Arabidopsis thaliana: one gene and its partners. The protein of the gene in region 2 purifies or fractionates together with the protein of the main gene of each other region. This does not show direct contact. Each region holds a gene or a part of one and is shown on either strand. Other genes may lie near its edges. The genes, in order: AT5G57460, ARP7 and emb1507.

Evidence for each region.
Region 1: the proteins of ARP7 (region 2) and AT5G57460 fractionate together in Arabidopsis thaliana (co-fractionation; one large-scale study listed by BioGRID). This does not show direct contact.
Region 3: the proteins of ARP7 (region 2) and emb1507 fractionate together in Arabidopsis thaliana (co-fractionation; one large-scale study listed by BioGRID). This does not show direct contact.

Annotation. Positions count from the first base shown.
Region 1 is NC_003076.8:23,273,276-23,277,030, reverse strand, and holds the start of AT5G57460 (muniscin carboxy-terminal mu-like domain protein), read right to left. Parts: upstream 1,922-3,755; 5' UTR 1,711-1,921; coding exon 1-1,710. Other genes in the region: XRCC3 (homolog of X-ray repair cross complementing 3 (XRCC3)), read left to right, coding at 2,109-3,023.
Region 2 is NC_003074.8:22,472,163-22,475,917, reverse strand, and holds the start of ARP7 (actin-related protein 7), read right to left. Parts: upstream 1,936-3,755; 5' UTR 1,621-1,935; coding exon 1,318-1,620; intron 1,116-1,317; coding exon 974-1,115; intron 726-973; coding exon 484-725; intron 408-483; coding exon 224-407; intron 139-223; coding exon 1-138. Other genes in the region: PBF1 (N-terminal nucleophile aminohydrolases (Ntn hydrolases) superfamily protein), read left to right, coding at 2,109-2,155, 2,290-2,397, 2,870-2,951, 3,060-3,189, 3,275-3,417, 3,517-3,607. UniProt on the Arabidopsis thaliana protein: Essential protein required during embryogenesis and all plant development stages, probably through a chromatin-mediated regulation of gene expression.
Region 3 is NC_003070.9:7,308,562-7,312,316, reverse strand, and holds the start of emb1507 (U5 small nuclear ribonucleoprotein helicase), read left to right. Parts: upstream 1-2,045; 5' UTR 2,046-2,231; intron 2,232-2,386; 5' UTR 2,387-2,402; coding exon 2,403-3,755. UniProt on the Arabidopsis thaliana protein: RNA helicase that plays an essential role in pre-mRNA splicing as component of the U5 snRNP and U4/U6-U5 tri-snRNP complexes. Involved in spliceosome assembly, activation and disassembly.

The DNA of each region.
Region 1 (3,755 bases), on a different chromosome or scaffold from region 2:
TTTCAGTTCTCGATCGGTTCTGTTCAGTATTGCTTTAGGCGAAACCTTAAGCAATGTGGGATCAACCGGGAGTTTTAGGATAAAGTCGACGTTTTTCAGAGGCTGAGGTAGATCCGGATTTGAGACGTATTGTATCATAAGTGAGAGTAAAGTCCCGCTGATTCGTTTCACCATTCGGACTCTAAGAGGCAACGGGGTTAGTTTAGGTTGCAAGCTATATTTAAGGATAGGGATTGGTTCTTCTGATGGAGCAGTTCTCACGTGAAACAAACCGTTCCCTAAGCTACTGATCCGAGAACTCTGCATAGCAAATCTCTTAACTGCAGTAGTACCCTCAACACGGAATGAGAACTCAGTTTCTTTCTCTTCACCAGAGCCTTTGGGTGGCATCGTTTTCAGATAGATCACACCCATTACTCCTACTCTAGCAAGCAAGGATTCTCTAAACTCGGTTCTAATTTCCTCAGAGATATACATTTCAGGACCTTTCATCTCAGGCTTCTTAACTAGGTTATCGATATTAACTCCATCTTTGCCTTCCACTGCTTTCGGATCACTGGTGTGCAACAGCTCAAGCCCACCGAGTCCTTCCTTCTTCTGAATCTTCTTTGGTCCCATAAACTCTGAAGGATCCAACCCACCTCCCCAAGCATCACTAAACGATTCAAAAGTTTCTCCAATCGTAGCCTGTTCATTGCTGAACTCAATCCCACCATACTGCCCTTCGAATCCTTCCACATTGATGTGCGTAGACTGTGTTGCCTCGGCTGGAGGTAATGTCGTCACTTCAAGTCCAGCCAATGCCAAAGTCAAATCCGTTGAGGACGGATCCTTAGTCTTCTTGAATCCACCCACAAGTTCTTTCTCCTTGTTAATCGTTTCACTAGCCGCAAAAGGATCCTTATTCTCCGGCTCTGGTTCTTCCTTCAATTGCTCTGATTCAGGCACCACTGGAGCCAAGCTCGCCGCGAACTCATCTCCAGCGGCAACAGTCTCCGGAGGCAATTCAAATCTTGCATTAGAAAATGCGTTTACAGAAGCTTGATGCTCTGCCGCATGCGATTCAACAGCCATCCAACTATCAGCTCCTCGGATCTTATTCTCAGTATCAAGAGCCGAATGAACCATCTTCGCAATCCCATCTCCGTGCATAGCACCAAGCATCGCCGCAAGACGGATATTACTAACACCACGCAAAACAATATCAAGCGCCATATAAACCTCAGCATACTTCCGTCCAAGCTTCTCCGGAGTAACTTCAACTCCACGACAAGCAGTAACAATAACACTAACAGCTTGATTCACAATATGAATACACTCAAATACATTGATCGAATTATCATGATCCGCGACAGTAACACCAAGGATATAGATCGAGTTCACTAATCTATAAACTACACGATACTTGCTCTCAACACCAACAATAACCTGTCCATTAGAAGCAGCGAGTGGATCATCACCTACAAACTCCGCCGCCGTGGCATCGTCAGGATCCGCAACGGAGGAAGAAGAAGAAGAAGAAGAAGAAGCTTGATTCTGTTTCTGATTCGATTGTTGCTGATGCTGCTGCTTCGAGGACGCTAATGCTTGACGCATTTGACGAAAATACGAGAGAGCGATTAAGGCTCTTGCTGGTGGAAACCATTCTCTAGTTTGGAGCAAAATGTCGGATCCATTTGCTGGTTGCAGAGCTAGGGCTAAACACGACATGATCCCGATTCGAAATTGATCTCGAAGCTTCTACTAATGGTGACTATTCAATCTCAATGGTTAGATTGAAACATCTGATGAAGAAATCGATCAGATCTGAGAACTGAGAAGAATCGTCGGAGAAGAAAAGGAGAAAGAGAAATGAGATCTTCGTTGTTTCTTTCGAAAACGACGTCGTTTGTTTCATTACTCGTATCCTACCTGCATGGACCTAATGCGATGGTTTGAAAATAAGCCCAATAGTAGACGTTTATTCTTAACTTATTGGGCCTAATGTCAAGGTAAGAAGCCCAATAATATGATAAAACGATGTCGTTTAACGCGATTAGGTCTTTTTAAATTTTGTAGCGCTTATAACTTTTGCGATTTTTTTTTAATTGGTAGCTTTTGGCGGTGAAATGCAAAATGGGAAAATTAAGCCGGAGAATCTCCTCCGACGATCGCCGACGAATCGTAAACTAACCACAGGCTGTGAAATCCTCGACGGATGTCTTCGCGGCGGAATTTCCTGCGATTCTTTAACCGAAATCGTTGCGGAGAGTGGCTGCGGAAAGACACAGCTCTGCCTTCAGCTTTCGCTCTGTACCCAACTTCCGATTTCACACGGCGGACTCAACGGTTCTTCTCTTTATCTCCATTCAGAGTTCCCATTTCCGTTTCGTCGTCTCCATCAGCTCTCGCACACGTTTCATCAATCAAACCCTAGTATTTACGCGAATTACAATGATAATCCTTGTGATCATGTGTTTGTACAAAATGTCCATTCTGTAGACCACCTGTTCGACATAATGCCTAGGATAGATGGGTTTGTTGGGAATTCGAAAACTAGGTTTCCGTTGAAGTTGATTGTGCTTGATTCTGTAGCGGCATTGTTTAGATCGGAGTTTGATAATACTCCGTCTGATCTTAAGAAGAGATCTTCTTTGTTTTTCAAGATATCTGGGAAATTGAAGCAGTTGGCTAGCAAGTTTGATTTGGCTATTGTGATTACGAATCAGGTTACGGATTTGGTTGAAACTTCTGATGGGTTAAGTGGGCTGAGGATTGGGAATTTGAGGTATTTGTATTCGTCTGGAAGACGAGTTGTTCCTTCTTTAGGCTTGGCTTGGGCTAATTGTGTGAATTCCAGATTTTTTATTTCACGAAGTGATGGTAGTATTGTTAAAGATAGAAGTGAAAAGGACGAGAATTGTTCAAGTTCTGTGTCCAGAAGTGCTAAGAGACGGCTTGACATAGTGTTTTCACCTTATTTGCCTGGGAGTTCTTGCGAGTTCATGATCACACGAGAGGGGATTTGTGCGGTTCAAGCGTAGGTGAACTCGGGTGCTATGTAGGATAGTTTTTGTTCGAAGCATCACCGGATTTTTTGGAGTATTTGTTCATTAGCCATTATTTATGTACATTGCAGAAGGATCCGGAGATGGGTTGCAGCAAAGCCAGGTTTATTTTTTCGGATTCCTCCTCTTGGTTAGATGTGATATGTGCTTGTTTTTAGTTTATAAGCATTCTATGTTCAATTATTCATAATAAAGCTTTTTAAAAGATTCCTGTTAGCTCCTAAGTCTACTGCAAGCTTCTCACTTTGTTCTCTGATTCTCTTTTCTTTGCATCATTGAATTTGCACGAAGTCGAAAATTTCCCACTTGGTTGCTATCTTCAAATCGTTTCATTTGTTGAGTAAATTGCTGATGTGATCTTTATATCTGGCCGTAATATCTTTATGAATAGGTAGTGTTGATCATCCTGGTGGATATGGTTTTTGTATTTATTTTCACTTGAACTCTGTAGCTAATTTCTCGATTCTAACCAGAAAATGACTGAAACCACAAAATATGATGATGCATGCCTTCATAAGTGCCATAAGTAATTAATCTAGTTAACATACTTCATTGTCCTATTGGTAAGCAAATGGAGTTAAAACAGATTACTTGTAGCTAAAAGATCTTTAACACTTCGATTGTTTTCTATTTTTCCGTGGTTATTCAGTGGCAGAGGAATCAACTGCAGTTCGAGAGGATCAATTCAGCCTCTGATGTATACAAGAA
Region 2 (3,755 bases):
CTTTAGCTAGTATGGCTCCTCCAACCCAAGCCGAATACATCCCCAAATTCTCCGGCATATATTCTGGCGGTTTCACCAGTGTTGGCCTAATGGCAGATGAGCACAAGTTTGCTTCTTTCTGGAATCTACTTTCGAATCCTGCCATCGACCATTCCAACAAACCCTTCAGTTTTCCGACCCAAAAGATATTCAAACACACTATGATATCAAGTGTTGTTAGTACCTGTCATGGAGGTTGTACCACCACAAAGTACAGTGTTCTCCAAGAGCTGCCTATGGTTCTCAGATGACACTGTGGAGATAATCCGGACAAGCTGCTCAACGATTCCATGCTCCTCCAGTCCCAGTATTGATGGCTGAAACAGAGCTTCTCCAACCGAGTATCTCTCTCGCCCGATGCTTATCACCTATAAGGCCATTGGTTTTGTTATCTATATGTATAAGGTAACAACACAAAATGTAGAATCTTGATTTCACACAAACCTGTCCATCAGGAAGAGTATGCTGCTCGATTTCACAGTTTTGGGTTTTTTTGTAAGCAATTTCGTCCTCGGCACAGTTTGCATACTGCTCCTTGAGTTTTTCAACATCAGACATGCTGAGATTCATCGACGGGTTGGTTTTTCCAAGCTCTTGGGCAAATAATTTAGTTAGCTCGGTTCCACCTAGCTCAAACCGTTTCGAGGCAATGTGTTGTACTGCACCTTCAAGAACTGGGGCAATATCTGAAAAGAGTTGGATCAACCACAAAGTTAAAACATCAGACATAACAACATCCTGATCATATCCAGCTATAAACACAAGAAGAATCCAAAAAAAATTGGTTTAACAAAACGTTTAAGATCATGGAAAAAGGTTAGTATAGGGAATCAGCATCTCATGTAACATCATAACTCACATAAAACATGGAATTATGAGTTTATGACAAAGTGAAAGACACAAAGAGTAACAAAGGCCAAGCAAGTTATAATACCTATCTTCCCATGACCAATATCAACAGTGCAACCGGAGATGCGTCCAACAGCATAAAGGGACAACACTGCTTGCTCAGATGCATAAAATCCAGAGACATTGAATGTTTCAAACATCAACTGCACCAATTGCTCCCTAATAGCCTGTCCACAAACAAACATTTGCAGAGCCAAATCAGGTCGAAACATTAAAAATAACAACGTCTTACTATCTAAAATGAGGTACTAAAAGAACAAAATTGTTCCTTTTCATAATCCAACAGAACAGGATTATGGGAATTGAAAAGAGACTCAAAGTTGTAATCTTTTAAATTAAGAACAAAGGAGGAAATTTGGAGATAAGAACCTTAGGAGTACAAAGTGGATCTGTAAAAAGTATATTGCCTTCGTTTCCCTCTTCCCATCCAAGCCCAGTGTAGACAACATAACGCAACAGATCTTCCATAGCATCCCAATCTCTAATCAAACCCCTTTCAATAGGATCAAGAGTGACATCCTCAAAGACAGTGGTGGGGTTATCAGCTGAAGAAGACCCATCATCAACCATTCGTTTCATTTGAGAGGGAATTATCATTGCAGGAGACTGGTCAGGAATTGCTGCTCCTGCTTTCAGGAACTTAGAGCCAGCATCAACAACTAGTGCTTCCATTGTTTTCACACACACACCCAAAAACCCTAAATTCCCAACTTTCCACAAATGCCAAGATTTAGTGGTAGCAGCAAGTCAGTGAAGCTAGAGAAGTAGAAATGAGAGAAGGAACTAGAGTGAGAGGCAAAAGAAAGAACGGTTTTTTCGAAGAACAAATCAATGGTCTAGAAGGGAAAATGGAAGCAGCTTACGAGTTTGCGTTGAGAGAGAAAATCGAAGACGAAGAAGAAGAAGAAAAGAAAAGAAAGATTATTTCTTTGGAATTCAAAGCCCAAATAAGGCCCATTATAAAGCCTATTACAGCCCGTAATTTCCACGTCCAAAACGGTATTGTTTTGAGTCTCCGTCTTTTTCTTGTTAACAAAGCCAGAGCTAATAAGATCCGATTCGGAAGTTTCTTTGACATCAAAACACAAACCCGGAAAGCTTCGTCTGCCATTTTTCATTCTTCTAAGCCCTAGCTCAAAGCTTTCTCTCTCAAATCCGCCATGACTAAACAGCACGCGAACTGGTCTCCTTACGATAACAATGGAGGGTACGGATCGTGTGACCTTTAATCAACCTGCTGGGTTTCTTCGCTTAGTGTCTTTCTTCTTTATTCTGATTTGCTATCTGGGCGATTGTGTTACGATTCACTTACTGTGAATTTAATCGTTGTGTGTTTTTCAGAACATGTGTGGCCATCGCTGGATCGGATTACTGTGTTATCGCCGCCGATACTCGGATGTCTACTGGTTACAGTATTCTTAGTCGCGATTACTCCAAAATCCATAAACTGTAAGTACCCATTCTCTTTCTTCTCTCACTGTTGATTCTTTGGGAGAGTGATTCCATGCTGGCAATCGAACTATTATTGCTGTAGATTATTAGGGTTTTTTTGCAATCGTAATTCGTAGATCTGGGTGAAACCAGTTATATATGGGTGGAGATAAAATAGGTTTCTTAATTATTATTAGACATGGCTTTTGATAGTGGTTACAATTATCTCTATATAAACTTTGTGATTACATTGATCATTCTATAATCCGGTTTATTGCTTAGCTTATTCGTTTTCTTATAACGTTTATTGACAATGTGTGTAGTTCTTTGAGTTTGTTCAACCTTACGTAAAGAGTGTTTGTTACTGTGTTGTTGATCTTATATACCACAAGTATTCATTCGTATGGAAATAGATAGAATTCTCGTGTTTTTCATCTTATGTAACTTGTAAGACTCTTGTTAAGCTGTTGTCTTCTTTTAACTTTTCCAGAGCGGACAGAGCTGTTTTGTCTTCCTCTGGCTTCCAGGCTGATGTGAAAGCTTTGCAGAAGGTTCTCAAATCCAGACACTTGGTGAGTTAAACTTTGGTCGTTTGATCAATTATCTTTCATCCTTCGCAGTATTAGAAAATGATGAAAGACTTGTGTAAGAGTGTTTTCTCTGTGTTTGGTTTCCTTCAGATCTATCAACATCAGCATAACAAGCAGATGAGCTGTCCTGCAATGGCCCAGCTTCTCTCCAACACGCTTTATTTCAAGCGGTTTTTCCCCTACTATGCCTTTAATGTTCTAGGAGGGCTTGACGAGGAAGGTAAAATGCTCCTCTTTTTTTCTCCGTTATGATGTGACTTTAGAAGAGGGTACTTTGTGTGATCTTTAGTCTTGAATATATCCAGGAAAAGGGTGTGTCTTTACTTACGACGCTGTTGGCTCATACGAGAGAGTTGGATACGGTGCTCAAGGTTCTGGTTCCACACTCATCATGCCTTTCCTTGACAATCAGCTCAAGTCTCCAAGTCCTCTTTTGCTACCTAAACAGGTTTGTTGATATTCTTCATTCGTGCTTTTGGCGTTTCGCATTGTAAAGATAAAATGAATCGTTCTGTTGCTTATTTGTTCGTCTTCTGCCACCATGTAGGATTCAAACACGCCCCTTTCCGAAGCTGAAGCAGTTGACTTGGTTAAAACTGTTTTCGCATCTGCCACAGAGAGGGATATCTACACTGTAAGTTGTCCTATTTGTGTCTTCTTTTGTCACCACGCCACCTAAAGCTTGCCTTTGTGCTCATATCATTTGCATTTGGTTCAAGTCTTCAAAATATTACCAAAACATTTACTTAATCTATATCCCTTACGTTGCACAACTACTTCATCTTC
Region 3 (3,755 bases), on a different chromosome or scaffold from region 2:
ATATGCCGCAACACGAGCTATATATATCCGTCTATGATACATATTTTTCTTTATATCAAGCTTTTCAAATGTATAGGTATAAGAACTCAATTTTATGATTATCGCCTCTACACGTTGTTTTTGTGCTTTTTTTTTTCTACTTTTGTATATATTTGGGTCATGCGTGAAGCGGTGAGAGTACTTTCGGTTGGTGGAATGTCACGATGAGCTTCATCTTTTGACCTTATCAATTCTAGTAGCGGTTCCTGACATGGAAATTCACGTATACATGATACGAAAACTGTTACATTTCGTCACTTTCGTCAATATTTCTACGCATATTATTCATATATGTTATCTATTTTCTTCGTATGTTTCACAAAAAACGTATTTTGGACTTTCTAGGGTTTGTTAAAATCTCTAATAGTTTATTCATAGTATATATGGAAGGAATATTGAGACAATATTACTCGAAATTTTAATTATGCATGGATATATTCAGACCAAAATGTCAATTAGCCTCCGAAATGTATAAAACAAGATAAAGGATTTATAGTGGTCAACCCATTATTGTTATAATAAAGGATTTTGTAGTTAACTATGATACATTGTAACACATTTGAATTTTGTGGCAGACTAGCGATGATTTTCTGAATGACCTTTTTCAAATCAATTGTTACTTGTAAAAATTTGTCATTAACAACCGTAAGTGATAATCGGTAGTTAAATATTCCTTCCATATATACTAATCAAATGCAGCGGTTAAATAATTGATAGGAAAAAAAACAGCATAGGCATTGTTACTTTGTGTTTACACTTTTGAATAAAAAGTATTATTAAGTAAAACAAATAAATAATAAAAAATATTATTAAATCTTGGAATAAAGTACACCAATTTTGTCATAAATAATTAACTCCGGCAAAACTTTAAAGATAATGGAGCCACACTATGTCACATGATCGATGCTCCCTCTAATCCGCAATAGGTGCTTACATGGATGTTTAAACCGAATTTAGGCGGACGAGAGTTCTTAGTTGTTTATATATACGTAATTTGTTTTGTTGTATATGTGCAGTAACAAAAATAACATCGCTTTAAAACAAAAAAAATTGAAGTGGTTTAGCATAATTTTAGATATTAATTAATCTTGGTAAACTCTTAAAAAAACAGTTTTGTTTTAGAATATTAAACAAAAATACATAATTGAATATGATGCTCTTGTTACGTGGATTTCCACACATGGCCTTTTTGGGACATTTTGATTTTCCACGTCTCAATATTTCACACGCCTACTTATGTGATGACTGATGCGTGATTAGTCAATTTTCTGTATTAAATTACTGTTTTGTTTGTTTGTCACCATTCTCTGTATTTCCTTAAAGAGTAAAAGAAAGTAAAAATTTAGTCACCGGTTGAGTTTTTTTCTTTCCAAACAAGAGTTTTAATGATGGAGTGAGTTTTTCTTGTACTTTGTCATGTTGTTATGGTAGTTGATTCTTGTTATATCGATATATAACATGAGAACTCTTTTTAATACAAAACTATAAATTATACGTGTTGCATGTTTGAAAACTATATTATCACTAAGATCAATAGATCTCTTTAGAGATTTGACAAAAATAAACAAAGACATATATATAAATTTTTTGGATATTTTTATGGACTGCCCAGTTTTCACATGATAACACATGAACCTTCGTCTCATATACATGTGCCATCTTTTACTAATCTAAGATTGCATTCAAAGTAATCAGCCTCCATGTCATTGTCACCATTTAAAGTTTTTCCCATTCCTTGTTCATTATTACACACACATTATATTTGTCAGCGATTATTAATGTTGAGGTATTAATATTTTGACAATTTTAATTCTTATAATAAACAAAAACACTTGCATTCATTCTCAAATTAACAAACGCAAAAGAAAGCATGAGACCATTGTCTTATTACGTTGGGCTTAGGAAGTATGTACAGGCCCAGCCCAATCCATGTACAGAGTCGGTTTCGTTATTGGATCCATAGTTTCAAAACGGCATCGTTAAAGTTTTCCACCTTAAGGCGGTATCGCTAGCTTATAGAAAGAATTCGCAGTCGAATAAACGAAGGAGTGTCTCCTTTAGTCATTTAGGTCGATTATTAGGAGATAGAGGACGTGAGAAGGGAGAGATCTGAGTCTCCTACTAGGGTTTCTTCTACTGGATTGATTCGTTGCAGAGAGTGAAGCTAAGAAGAGATTTTCGTAGCTGTTTCTGTAAGTTTTTTTTAATCTCCGTTTCCTCGATTTGGGTGTGGTTTTATTAGGGTTTATCATCTCTGGGAGCTTCTTCGTTTCACTTTTGGTTCGTTTCTTCGATTTGAGGTTAACATTGTGTATTTTTTTTTGTTCCTGTTTGATTTGGTTTCTAGGTTTTCGGATTGGTAGATGGCGAACTTGGGAGGCGGTGCGGAAGCACATGCCAGGTTCAAGCAGTATGAGTACAGAGCCAATTCTAGTCTGGTGTTAACTACTGATAATAGACCTCGGGATACTCATGAGCCTACAGGAGAACCGGAAACTCTGTGGGGGAAAATCGATCCGAGGTCTTTTGGTGACCGTGTTGCTAAGGGAAGGCCTCAGGAGTTGGAGGATAAGCTGAAAAAGTCTAAGAAGAAGGAACGTGATGTTGTAGATGATATGGTAAATATTAGGCAGAGTAAGAGGCGGCGTCTAAGGGAAGAGAGTGTGCTGACTGATACTGATGATGCGGTTTATCAGCCGAAGACTAAGGAGACGAGGGCTGCTTATGAAGCCATGCTTGGTCTTATCCAGAAGCAGTTGGGTGGGCAACCTCCGAGTATTGTTAGTGGTGCAGCGGATGAGATTTTGGCTGTTCTCAAGAATGACGCATTTAGAAACCCTGAGAAAAAGATGGAGATTGAGAAGTTGCTGAACAAGATTGAAAACCATGAGTTTGATCAGCTTGTTTCCATTGGAAAGTTAATCACGGACTTCCAAGAGGGTGGTGATTCTGGTGGTGGTAGAGCTAATGATGATGAAGGGCTTGATGATGATTTGGGCGTGGCTGTTGAATTTGAGGAGAATGAAGAAGATGATGAGGAAAGCGATCCTGATATGGTTGAAGAGGATGATGATGAGGAGGATGATGAGCCTACCAGAACTGGAGGCATGCAGGTTGATGCAGGGATAAATGATGAGGATGCAGGAGATGCCAATGAGGGCACAAATCTTAATGTTCAAGACATTGATGCATATTGGCTCCAGAGAAAGATCTCTCAAGCGTATGAACAGCAGATTGATCCACAACAATGCCAGGTACTCGCAGAAGAGCTACTAAAGATACTCGCTGAAGGGGATGATAGGGTTGTTGAGGACAAGCTGCTTATGCACCTTCAGTACGAAAAATTTAGCCTTGTCAAGTTTCTGCTGCGTAACCGTCTTAAAGTTGTGTGGTGCACTCGTTTGGCTAGGGCAGAAGACCAGGAAGAGAGGAATAGAATCGAGGAGGAGATGAGGGGGTTAGGCCCAGAGTTGACAGCAATTGTGGAGCAGTTGCATGCAACAAGAGCAACAGCGAAAGAGAGGGAGGAGAACCTGCAAAAAAGTATTAACGAGGAAGCCCGGCGTTTGAAGGACGAAACTGGTGGAGATGGAGGCAGAGGCAGGAGAGATGTTGCTGATAGAGATTCAGAGAGTGGGTGGGTGAAGGGTCAGCGTCAGATGCTGGACCTGGAGAGCTTGGCTTTTGACCAAGGTGGTCTTCTGATGGCGAATAAG